2 linked regions of the Arabidopsis thaliana genome follow. The protein of the gene in region 1 interacts with the protein of each later gene in a pairwise test. Each region holds a gene or a part of one and is shown in the gene's direction. Other genes may lie near its edges. The genes, in order: CAC2 and AT3G56130.

The links.
Region 2: the proteins of CAC2 (region 1) and AT3G56130 interact in a two-hybrid assay, tested with the Arabidopsis thaliana proteins (one large-scale study listed by BioGRID).

What each region holds. Positions count from the first base shown.
Region 1 is NC_003076.8:13,582,104-13,588,867, forward strand, and holds CAC2 (acetyl Co-enzyme a carboxylase biotin carboxylase subunit), read left to right. Parts: upstream 1-2,002; 5' UTR 2,003-2,196; coding exon 2,197-2,244; intron 2,245-2,341; coding exon 2,342-2,685; intron 2,686-2,762; coding exon 2,763-2,904; intron 2,905-3,045; coding exon 3,046-3,144; intron 3,145-3,235; coding exon 3,236-3,292; intron 3,293-3,495; coding exon 3,496-3,567; intron 3,568-3,930; coding exon 3,931-4,020; intron 4,021-4,156; coding exon 4,157-4,216; intron 4,217-4,521; coding exon 4,522-4,707; intron 4,708-4,791; coding exon 4,792-4,884; intron 4,885-4,962; coding exon 4,963-5,044; intron 5,045-5,132; coding exon 5,133-5,239; intron 5,240-5,454; coding exon 5,455-5,530; coding exon of another isoform or gene 5,531-5,534; intron 5,535-5,684; coding exon 5,685-5,731; intron 5,732-5,819; coding exon 5,820-5,882; intron 5,883-5,958; coding exon 5,959-6,060; 3' UTR 6,061-6,117; coding exon of another isoform or gene 6,118-6,165; 3' UTR 6,166-6,227; downstream 6,228-6,764. Other genes in the region: AT5G35370 (S-locus lectin protein kinase family protein), read right to left, coding at 6,461-6,764. UniProt on the Arabidopsis thaliana protein: This protein is a component of the acetyl coenzyme A carboxylase complex; first, biotin carboxylase catalyzes the carboxylation of the carrier protein and then the transcarboxylase transfers the carboxyl group to form malonyl-CoA.
Region 2 is NC_003074.8:20,824,775-20,829,858, forward strand, and holds AT3G56130 (biotin/lipoyl attachment domain-containing protein), read left to right. Parts: upstream 1-1,801; 5' UTR 1,802-2,077; coding exon 2,078-2,111; intron 2,112-2,371; coding exon 2,372-2,545; intron 2,546-2,848; coding exon 2,849-2,919; exon of another isoform or gene 2,920-3,075; coding exon of another isoform or gene 3,076-3,126; coding exon 3,127-3,180; coding exon of another isoform or gene 3,181-3,184; intron 3,185-3,363; coding exon 3,364-3,630; intron 3,631-3,729; coding exon 3,730-3,792; intron 3,793-3,876; coding exon 3,877-3,945; coding exon of another isoform or gene 3,946-3,957; exon of another isoform or gene 3,958-4,024; coding exon 4,025-4,070; coding exon of another isoform or gene 4,071-4,132; exon of another isoform or gene 4,133-4,165; coding exon 4,166-4,233; 3' UTR 4,234-4,496; downstream 4,497-5,084. Other genes in the region: AT3G56120 (S-adenosyl-L-methionine-dependent methyltransferases superfamily protein), read left to right, coding at 1-382, 495-593, 689-832, 1,114-1,220, 1,361-1,435, 1,527-1,583; AT3G56140 (DUF399 family protein, putative (DUF399 and DUF3411)), read left to right, coding at 4,633-5,084.

The sequences.
Region 1 (6,764 bases):
AAATCATTTCTAGTCAATAATAGAAGATGCTACGAACAAAAGCACTTAATTTTGAAACCTTAAATAAAATACATAGTATAACGATTTTTATATACTTATCTATTAGATCACAAAAACTAAATTCAATGTTAAAAATAAAGTACATAAATTTATTTGAGATATGGAAGAGGTAAGAAAATATTATTTGATAAATATATCACAACAATTATTTTGTTAAATATTACATAAATAAAATGACACACGAATATTATCGAAAATAGTCAAATATCCAAAATAGATAATAGAGATAGATCTTTTCAACTTCATTTCCTTGCATGATGGTCAAAATTGATATTTTGTTACATGTATCAAGACTTCCAGTTTACAAAGGTGAATTTGAACTAAAATAAATATGAAAATCAAAGAAGAAATAAGTATAATCTAGTAACACAATATAAATAAAGGGTTTTGTGCAAAAAAAACTGAAATTGTATATTGTTGCAGCTTTACCCTTCACGTTAAAAAAATGCAAATAATCCTATAAATTTTAAAAATAATGCGAAATATAGCCATTTTTTTGCAAATTTACATATATTGTAAATATTTTCATGATCACATACATTTGTTTTTGAATTAGACTCTTCCAATATAGCAATCTATTGAAGAAATAAGTATTATTTATCAAAAAATTGAATTTTTGACAATAGCAAAAAAGTTAATTTGCGTATTATTTTGAAATTCATAAGTATTTTGCATTTTTTTATGTGAAAGATAAAATTGCAAAAATAGACGAATTTGAAAGTTGTTTTTGCACAAAACCCAAAAATAAAATACAACAATATAGGATATATAGATCATAGCCTCTAAAAATAAATTTAAAATTAGACTCTTCCAATGATGTTTCAACCCATATAACAACAGAAAAGCAAAACAAAAATATTTAAAATTTGAGATAGGTTCGAAGATGATTATCTTTGGAACTTGGTTTTCTTGATGTATATGATTAAATTTGGTGCATATGTAATTAAGTGTGCACTGGACCAATAAAAAACATTGAAACCTTATATAATATATCTTCTTATGACACATTATTATTTAAATAAACAAACAAACAAAACTTTAAAAGCGTTTGCGTTCAGCGTTCAGCGTTCAGCGTTTGCGTTCGACGTTTAGAGTTGGCACAAAATCCACCAAATTAAAACCATTCAGGCGGAGGATTCAATATATCTCACAGTTTCACTCTCAACATTTCAATATCTCTCTCTCTCTCTGTGAAGAACAAATACAGCGTTTCTTCTGCGATTAGATCTATTTCGATACTCACGAGGATTGCCTCCTGAGGAGACTACATATACTAAACAAAATACAAGCTGAGGAGACTAAATATATTTAGTTAATACCAATAATATATGATATACAACTACATATTTACAAACAAAGAAAATATAGTAGATTTGTAATATATACATAATTGAGATTTGATGATTGATTAAACCAAGAATACCGTGCGTAGCACGGGTACTGACATAGTATGTGTATTATTCTGAACTTCATAAGATTATTTTTCATTTTTGATGTGAAAGATAAAGTTGCAAAAATGGTCGAATTTGAAGGTTTTTTGCACAAACCCAGAAATAAAATAAAACAATATAAGATATGATCATAGCCTCTGAAAATAAATTTAGAACTAGACTCTTCCATTGATGTTTCAACCCATATAACAACATAAAAGCAAAGCAATAAGTTGAAAGATGATAATCAAAATTAAAAAATGAGTATCTTTGCAACTTGGTTTTCTTGATGTATATAATTAAATTTGTTACATATGTAATTAAGTGTAAACTGGACCCATAAGACCTTTTTCATCCTTGTAAGCTTAATGGGCTTTATCAATATAATGTTGGCCGACAAAAAAAAAAAAAAAAAGACCCATAAGAAACATTGAAACCAGTCTGGCCCATGACCCATATAATTTATCTTTAAAAGAGTCTGCGTTCCACGTTTGCGTTCCGAGTTTGCGTTCCGTGTTTGCGTTTAGAGTTGGCACAAAATCCACCAAATCAAACCAGTCGGGCGGAGGATTCAATATCTCAGAGTTTCACTCTCAACATTTCATTCTCTCTCTCTCTCTCAACAATTAGATCTGTTTCGATAATCACGAGGTTTCCCTCACTTCCTTTCCATTGCTAAACCAGGATTTGCCTCCTGCATTTGGAAATGGACGCTTCTATGATTACCAATTCCAAATCCATTACTTCTCCACCCGTAAGCACCAAAACGCTATTAATTTGAAATTCGTCAATCTCTGTTTCTCTGTTTCTCTGTTTCATGTCTCTGAATCTGTTAAATCTGTTATATGAAGTCTTTAGCCTTAGGGAAGTCAGGAGGAGGAGGAGTTATCAGAAGTTCACTATGTAACTTAATGATGCCAAGCAAAGTTAACTTCCCTAGACAAAGAACTCAAACTCTAAAGGTTAGCCAGAAGAAACTCAAGAGAGCTACTAGTGGTGGTCTTGGTGTTACATGCAGTGGTGGTGATAAGATTCTCGTAGCGAATCGAGGTGAAATTGCAGTTCGTGTTATCAGAACTGCTCATGAAATGGGGATTCCTTGTGTTGCTGTGTATTCTACTATAGATAAAGATGCTCTTCATGTTAAATTAGCTGATGAAGCTGTTTGTATTGGTGAAGCTCCTAGTAACCAGTCGTAAGTGTGGAACAAAATGATTGATCTTGTTGTGTAGAGAATGAACTAGTGTTGAATTCTTGTCCTTTTGTGTGTAGGTATTTGGTGATTCCGAATGTTCTGTCTGCGGCTATTAGCCGTGGATGTACAATGCTTCATCCTGGATATGGTTTTCTTTCGGAGAACGCTCTCTTTGTTGAAATGTGTAGAGACCATGGGATCAATTTTATTGGACCTAATGTAAGTGTCTTATATCTCTTCAAAGACTTTATAGACTTTGCAGAACTTCATTAGTCTCAGTTCAGCCCTAGCTTTCTTTTGTTGGAGAGAAGGAAGATTTCAGTATCTGATTTATCGGTATTTCGTCTTTTCTATCTGTAGCCTGATAGCATCCGTGTTATGGGAGACAAAGCGACTGCAAGAGAGACAATGAAAAATGCAGGGGTTCCCACTGTACCAGGGAGTGATGGGCTATTGCAGGTATTTTTTTAGATTATCAGTTTAGTATTTCAAGTTTTTGCATGTCAAGAGAAGTCTTGGGATTTGAATGTTTTATTTTGTCTTATTGCAGAGTACAGAAGAAGCTGTCAGGGTCGCCAATGAGATTGGTTTCCCTGTAATGATCAAGGTAATATTAACTTGATTGGATTTGGAGTTAAATTTGTATTTCATACTTTCTTTTATGTAACCGATAAACTGGATTCTCAAAATTGGTCTGCTTGAAAAGACACAAATTTAAGTATGTTTATTTTATGCTCAGCTTGTCTCCCTGTACTTATTGATATGCTTATAGTTACAAAAACTGACTGTTCTCACTTTTCTGGTTTCAAGGCAACAGCTGGTGGTGGTGGACGTGGAATGCGTCTTGCTAAGGAACCGGGAGAGTTTGTAAAACTGTTGCAGGTATGACAATCATGTAAATCTGAACCAACAATTCCTCTGATAGAATTTTTAATGAGTCCAGGGATCAAGTTCTCCATAAGCATAATTGCAGTATTGTCACAGATTCTTTATTTCTTTCTAACTCAGACAATGTAAAGGTGTAATCTCATGATGTTTGCCACATTTCGAAATTTAGACAACTGTATAGTTGTGAAAGCTGGAAGTGTAGTAGCTTAAATCTAGTAATACTGACCATTGATATCAATTAAACAACCAGATTGTATGCTTTCCGCTTGCCTTTATAGTCACAGTTTTCTTAAATGAAAATTCCACAAAAGATTCGACTTCCCTTTATTGAACTTGGCTTAATTTTTTTATCGACAGCAAGCTAAGAGCGAGGCTGCTGCTGCTTTTGGGAATGATGGATGTTATCTGGAGAAGTTCGTACAAAACCCTAGACATATTGAGTTCCAGGTATGCATTTTATCAGGAGAAGTTGTTCAAAACAGTTGAGGTTTTAGCAAAAGATGATTCTTGTGAGTTGATGGTCTAGTGATACACATTATTGATCCCAAAGCCATATTTTCTCTCTGTACCTCTTGTATTTCAGGTGCTGGCAGATAAATTTGGAAATGTTGTTCACTTTGGTGAGCGTGACTGCAGCATCCAGGTATCTTCCTCTTAGGTTTTTTATAATTTCATTACCATCAATTGTTGCATAGTGCTCCAAGAATAAATGTAACTGAATATATGAAAACAGGAATAAATTTACTTCAGCCTAATTACTGCACTTGCATGTCATATCCCAGCTGCATGATCTGCTAAACTGATTTTTTCCTGTACTAATTGCTAAGATAACTCGAACTTCGATACTAGTTCTCAGAATTTGAGTATACCTCTTGCTGCTTTCTTTCAATTCTTGTATGACATCTAAAACCATCTGGATCATTTAATTATATCTTCCCCTGACAACAGAGGCGTAACCAAAAGCTTCTGGAAGAAGCACCTTCTCCAGCATTGACCGCTGAATTGCGAAAAGCCATGGGTGATGCAGCAGTCGCAGCAGCAGCATCCATTGGGTACATTGGTGTTGGTACTGTGGAGTTTCTTTTAGATGAGAGAGGTTCCTTCTACTTCATGGAAATGAACACTAGGATCCAGGTTGAATTTTATTATGACTGCTAAGTATATTTATAAGCATCTGAAGTATACTGAATGCGAACCATTTCTTGAATCTAAACTCAGGTGGAGCATCCTGTGACAGAGATGATTTACTCTGTTGATTTGATAGAGGAGCAGATTCGTGTTGCAATGGGAGAGAAACTTCGTTACAAACAGGTTTGAATAGTGTTGTATATGATGTTTTGAGTGGATACCAAAAAAGTTATTTCAAAATTTAATTTTGTTTGTTTACAGGAAGATATTGTGCTCAGAGGGCACTCAATTGAATGTCGTATCAATGCAGAAGATCCATTTAAAGGATTCAGACCTGGACCTGGTATATTTCAGTAGACTTTTATATGTTAACGTCTTCGAATTTTAGCAGATTGGCTTTCTTTAAAATAACGTCACTCTTACAACAACAGGCAGAATAACATCATACCTGCCATCTGGAGGTCCTTTCGTTAGAATGGACAGCCATGTCTATTCCGACTATGTTGTGCCTCCAAGCTATGATTCTCTTCTTGGGAAGGTAATATCTGTCTTTTACTTTCTCTGGATAGCCATTTAGTATCTGTTTGGTTATTTAGGAACAAATTTTGTGGCTTCATGGTAAAATAATCACTCGGGTGTTTTGGAATCTTAAACAAATATTGGAAAAGTCTTCCTGGTGTTGTTCATTTGCTTCTATAGCAGCAGCTTACTGGAACTTATAGCTGATGTGTTGACACACTAAATCTCTTGTAGCTTATTGTGTGGGCTCCAACGAGGGAAAAAGCAATTGAACGGATGAAGCGGGCGCTTAATGACACTATCATTACAGGTATGTCGAGTACTACTTTTTGTTAATTCCATATTGTTTATGCTTCTTCATTGTCTGTTTTGTTTTTCTTTTATTCTGTGTAAGATGTGACATTTCGTTACATTGGACATCTGGTGGAATGTTAAATCAAATTTCGTTTTCTTGGTTTCATCAGGGGTTCCAACGACTATCAATTACCACAAACTTATCCTTGATGTTGAGGTGTGTGAAATAAGTAAAGCTATAGTTTAGCGAATTTTGTAATGAAAATGTTGGTTTTTTTGTAATCCAATTGTTGTGTTGGTCACAGGATTTCAAAAATGGAAAAGTTGATACAGCTTTCATCGTCAAGCATGAAGAGGAGCTAGCTGAGGTAAATTCGAATGTCTCTGTGGTCGGCTAAAGACACAGGCCATTGGATGTATTCATTTTCAATGCTTCTAAGTTAGTGGGATATGAAGCCTTTGGTAAAGCTGAACATAGAGATAGGAGAATTGCATGAGAAGAATGAAACTATATATAGAGGAAGACAGATTAAATTGTGTTTGTAATAGTAAGGTTGGTTAAACCAAATGGTGGGTTCTAACATGGTTATATTGTATATGCAGCCTCAAGAAATTGTGGCAGTGAAAGATCTGACAAACGCAACGGTTTAGAATGATACATCAGCTCTGAAAGACCACCCAATTATTGCAATCTTCGTCTCCTTTTGTGTGTTCATTGGTACAAACTTCGGTAACGATAAGACTGTTTTACTAGAGTCTGTGGTTTTATCAATGTTCTTCTTGTATCATAAACAAGAGGAAACACTTTTGTTTGTAGTCTCTATGTCAAGATTTTTCAATAATTTTCATATATAGTAGAGATTATATGAACAAGGCCTATCACTATTAACAAAGTAACCAAAACCAAATAAAACAAAAGACAAAAATAATTCACATTTAGGTGATCTCATCGCGGGCCGGACACTTCCTGAGACGCTATGTAAGACGCAGACTGCCTAGAGCCGCCACTATTAGAGCTCTCTCGCCGGTGGAAGACCATAGTTTCACTCTCCCCATTTTGTCCTTCAACCATGGAAGACTCCGCAAACCTCAGCCCATAAAACCTCAAGAAGTTCAACGACTCCATCCTCGGGTTCCCCAACGGTATACTTCCTTCGAACATACCCACTACCGCTGCCATTGTTGGCCTCAATGCTGGCTCCTCGTGGACGCAACACAAAGCTATCCGAACCAACTTCTCAGCCTCTTGG
Region 2 (5,084 bases), on another chromosome or scaffold:
GAAGTAAAGCAATATGGGGCTAGATTTAAGCTGGACTATGGCTTGGTTTATTGGAATTCAAGATTGGAACATGAGCACATGCGGCTTTCATCTTTGTTTAAACCTGGGGAAACCGTATGTGATATGTTTGCTGGTATTGGGCCTTTTGCTATTCCAGCTGCACAGAAAGGATGCTTTGTGTATGCAAATGATTTAAATCCAGACAGTGTTCGGTACTTGAAGATCAATGCAAAGTTCAATAAGGTTGATGATTTGATTTGTGTGCACAACATGGATGCTCGTAAATTTTTCTCTCACTTGATGGCGGTGTCAACTTGCGAGGATAATTTGCAATCAGTGGCTGATAATGATAAAACAAAGGAAGCAGCCGTGAGTCGAGGAGGTAGTTCTTTTGGTTTAAACTATTTTTTTGCATTATAGTTGGCATATTTGGTTTTACGAGAGACAAAAAATAACTTTACCGGTGGGTTTCTGTTTACTTTGCTTAATCATAGGTGAGACTAATTCCAGTGGAGAGGAAATACGTGAATCCAATGCAAGCATAAATGAGCCTCTTGGTGCAAATAAGAAGCCATCTGGTACTACAAAGACGGGTAAGAAATGCCTCATAAAGATTTCTCCAAGACATTGTTTTAGTTAATATTGCCTAATGCCTGGGGATCCTCACCAGTATGTTAATTGAGTGCAGAAAATGGGGTAGGAAAAGACTGCAAGAGTATAGAAGGACACGCAAATAAGAGATTGAGACAAACGTTGCTTCCAATCGCAAAGCCGTGGGAACATATCGACCATGTTATTATGAACCTTCCAGCATCTGCCTTGCAGTTTCTTGGTATGCTATCAATGATTCTTTATTATTTTTGTTCAAAATTTGGGACTAGAGTCTTGCATATACTTGCAAGGCATTAGAGTTTCATCAACTATCAACTACATTCCGCATCAGCAAGTTAATTAGGACCAGGACCAATAGAAATAGGAGATGCATCATGTATTAAGGCTTGTTTGAAGAGTTATGTGATTGGCTCTTCAATTTCAGTTAGAAGTAAGAAAGGAAGTCAGGATTTGTTTTTGTCACACTACTAATGCATATAAGCTCTGTAATTGTTTTTGCAGATTCGTTCAGTAATGTTATTCAAAAGAAGTATTGGAAAGGACCTCTTCCATTAATTCATTGCTATTGTTTCATCCGTGCAAGCGAAACCACAGAGTTTATAATTGCAGTAAGTATCAACCGCTCCCCTCCTGCTTGTCCCTTCTAGTTTTGTTGTCTTCACTATATCATATCTTTGTACCAAAGATCTGGTAGCGTTTTTCTGCGAGCCTTTAAATCTGATATACAGCTTCTGTTGATATTTTTAAGGAAGCTGAAACTGCTTTGAAGTTCCATATAGAAGATCCAGTCTTCCACAAGGTTAGAGATGTTGCTCCAAACAAGGTAAGATCCCACTCGTCTGTTTTTCTTTTTGATATATTATCAAAACATAGCATCTGTAGTTCCTGAGCTAGATTTCTTTTGTACTTTGCAGGCTATGTTTTGCCTAAGCTTTAGACTACCTGAAGCATGCTTGAAGCAAGAAGAGTAAAAGACATTTCTAGGAAAGAAAGAAGAATCAAAAAACGCATTTGAAATCTTTTCTTTTTGCTTTTGGTATTGTTTGTTTGATTCCATGGCACATAGAGTCAGCTACTGCATAAGTTGATAGAAAATGGGGACACTTAAATTTGCTTAATAGTATTTAACAGAAGCTGAAGACTTTTGATAAAATTAATTGATGAAAGCATATAAGAGAGATAAGAATATGCCTTTGTTAATAATACTACATTTTCAGAACTAAATTACGCCTTTTTGTTAGTATACCGGCGCATGTTAGCAAAGGAAAGTGACGGACCGTAGTGTAGTAGTAGATGCGGCGGACGGAGTTACCAAAGAAGAAGGCCGCTCAAAATAATTAAATTTGTTCAACCGTCATCTTCTTCAACTGATCTTAGCTCAACTAACACACTCTTTCTTCTTGGCGTCAATTCAATCAACCAAAACCTTTTTCTCCTATCTAGCTCACGCTTTCTTCTTCTTCCAATGGCGTCTTCTGCAGCTCTCGGATCTCTCCATCGTGAGTCTCTTGCTCTCTCACTCTCTGCGTTTTACTTATTCTGTTGATTTCATGAGGATAGGAAAACTAGAAATGGAGGACCATGAGTAAAATTTCGGAAATGAAAGGCATAGATTGGAGCTATCCGTTAGTGACGTTGTTGCTTCTTAGAGTGTAATTTAGCGACTTAATTAAGTTTCAATCTCGGATCTTGTGTGTCTAATTTGTATCAAGAGATGTTTCAGCTAGAAAAAGTGAATTTTATTTGTTCCATTTTACAGAGACTTTAGGGTCAGCCATTAATTCACAGAGTGAGGTTCACTCGCTTTCTGGAAACTGGTCTGCCTCTGGTAATTCATGTGTGCCACGGTGGAGATTATCCAACAGGAACAGCAACTACAGGCTCGTGTTACGTGCTAAGGCCGCTAAATCTTCGACAACAACCATAAGTGATGGTGAGTTTATCTTCCACAATTCTTCTTCATGTTCATTTTGCTGGTTAATGCCTTTTTTTACTATCAGGCTTGTCTCATCACTTTGCTAATACGATCCATTGGCCAAAGATGGTATTAATCTGTTTTGCTCTTAAAGGAACTGGAACTGAAATTCTTAGTCTCGTTTGCTCTTAAAGGAACTAGAAATGTAACTGTAAGCCTCGGTCTTTTACCAGCTGTCTTGGAACCAGGAGATACAGTGATGTGATATTGGAACATTTTTCTTTTATTTCCTATGACTTTTGCTTATTTTTGGCTTTGCAGGTTCATCTGATGCTAGTGTGTCAGACGGGAAGAAAACAGTTCGACGGATAACTTTCCCGAAAGAAGTGGAGGTTTCTTCCTTGCCTTTCATGGGTCTTAGATATTAGGTTCTTTAATTTATAAGTTTGGTAGGTGATGATATGACGATTTCCTCAAATATGCACTTTCTAGATCGTCAGGATTTTGGATGCATAACTTCAGGCAATCTACTCTTATAATTTTTAATCATGACGTATGGATGTACCTTTCTTTATATGTTGTTAGATGAAATGTTGCAGGCACTGGTTCACGAGATGTGTGATGAAACTGAGGTTGCTGTGCTGCAACTTAAGGCAAGTCTCTCTGCCATTAGTTTTAACTTCATTATTATTATTATTTGTAAACTTTCTTTGAGGCTACTACAAAGACGAGTGCATTTTACTCAACCAACAATATGGGGCTAAATATCACTGATTTGAGATAATAGAATGTAGGTTCCAACAATTAGACTCTTCTGAAGCTTTCTTTTGCTACAGGTTGGAGATTTCGAGATGAACCTAAAACGGAAGATTGGAGCAGCCACAAACCCCATTCCCGTGGCGGATATATCTCCAACTGTAGCGCCTCCTATTCCTTCTGAACCTATGAATAAATCTGCTTCTTCGGCTCCTAGCCCATCTCAAGCAAAGCCTTCCTCTGAGAAAGTGTCTCCATTTAAGAATACATCATATGGGAAACCAGCAAAGTTGGCTGCTTTGGAGGCATCTGGATCCACCAACTATGTGTTAGTCACATCTCCCGCAGTATGAGATCCATTTCCTAATTAGTGGTTGCTTTCATATCCCTTAATTTCTCTGCAGTTTTCTTGTTTGATTTGATCTTGTTTCTTCTCTTACCAAAAGGTGGGCAAGTTTCAGAGGAGCAGAACTGTAAAAGGAAAGAAACAATCTCCTAGCTGCAAAGAGGTAAACGACTCTAAATTCTTTTGCATCTCTTAGAACAAAAGAACAGAAATAAGATCAAAGAGCTAAGTGAAAAAAACTCCTTAGGGTGATGCAATAAAGGAAGGCCAAGTTATTGGATACTTACATCAGTTGGGAACAGAACTTCCAGTGACGGTAATATCTTAACTAATATATCCATCTCTTCTTTGAAACTATCTAATCAGACTCATCGATCTTGCTATTTGTCGAGCAGTCAGATGTAGCTGGAGAAGTCCTTAAGCTTCTTTCAGATGACGGAGGTAAACATTTGAGTATTCAAACCGTTTCATTTAGTATGAACATTCAGAAATTATATAAGTGAATTGATATGAACTCATGCTTCGTGTGCAAACAGACTCCGTAGGTTATGGAGATCCTCTGGTTGCAGTCTTGCCATCTTTCCACGACATCAACATCCAGTGATGATGGTTTCTTCAGCCCAATTCCATAGCAAATGAATAGTCTTTCATCCGGAGACTGTACTATTCATCTTCTCCTGTGTTTGTTCAATGAAGATTTGTAATCTGTTTAGTTGCAAAGAGTCTACTTTGATCTTGCTCTCATCATTTGTCACGTAATGTGGATTTTCTGCACCAGAGAAAAAAAACAATTGTGGAATTTTTATAGAAATGACGTGGCTATCTTATCTTCTCCGATCATCAAATAAAATCAAGGCTCAAAAATTCAGAAGAAAATTGACGAATGTTTTTAACAGTGAAGGAAAATATTAAAATTCTTCTCTTATTCGTATCGGTCTTAGCAATGTATGTAATACGCTGACGTGTACAAACGGAGCTCTCTTCTCAGCTCTGGCCTCTGAGAATGAAACTCACCACGAATGATCTCTTCGCTTCTCAACCATTATTTCACTGCCCTTGCTCCTCCTCCTCCCGTCCTCGCCGCCGACGTTTCTATGGCCTTCATTTTCCGATCAACCTCACCAGCGAGAAGAACAATTCTCTATCCATTGTTGCTCTTTCTGATTCCGATCTTCCATCACGAACCGCCTTCTCTCGCCGCGCTTTTCTACTCGCGCCACCACTTCTAGTCTCGGCTGCTTCCTTGTTTCTCAAACCGTCTGTCTCTTTAGCCTCCGAGGAGAGCTCGTCCGCTACAGTAACATCGCCTGCGGAATCAGCAGCTCCTCCTCCTCCTCCTGCGACCACAACACCGTCGCCGCCTCCACCCGTGAATAAGGAAGAGACGATAACCTCGAGAATCTATGACGCGACGGCCATTGGTGAGCCGATGGCTATGGGAAAAGATAAGAAGAA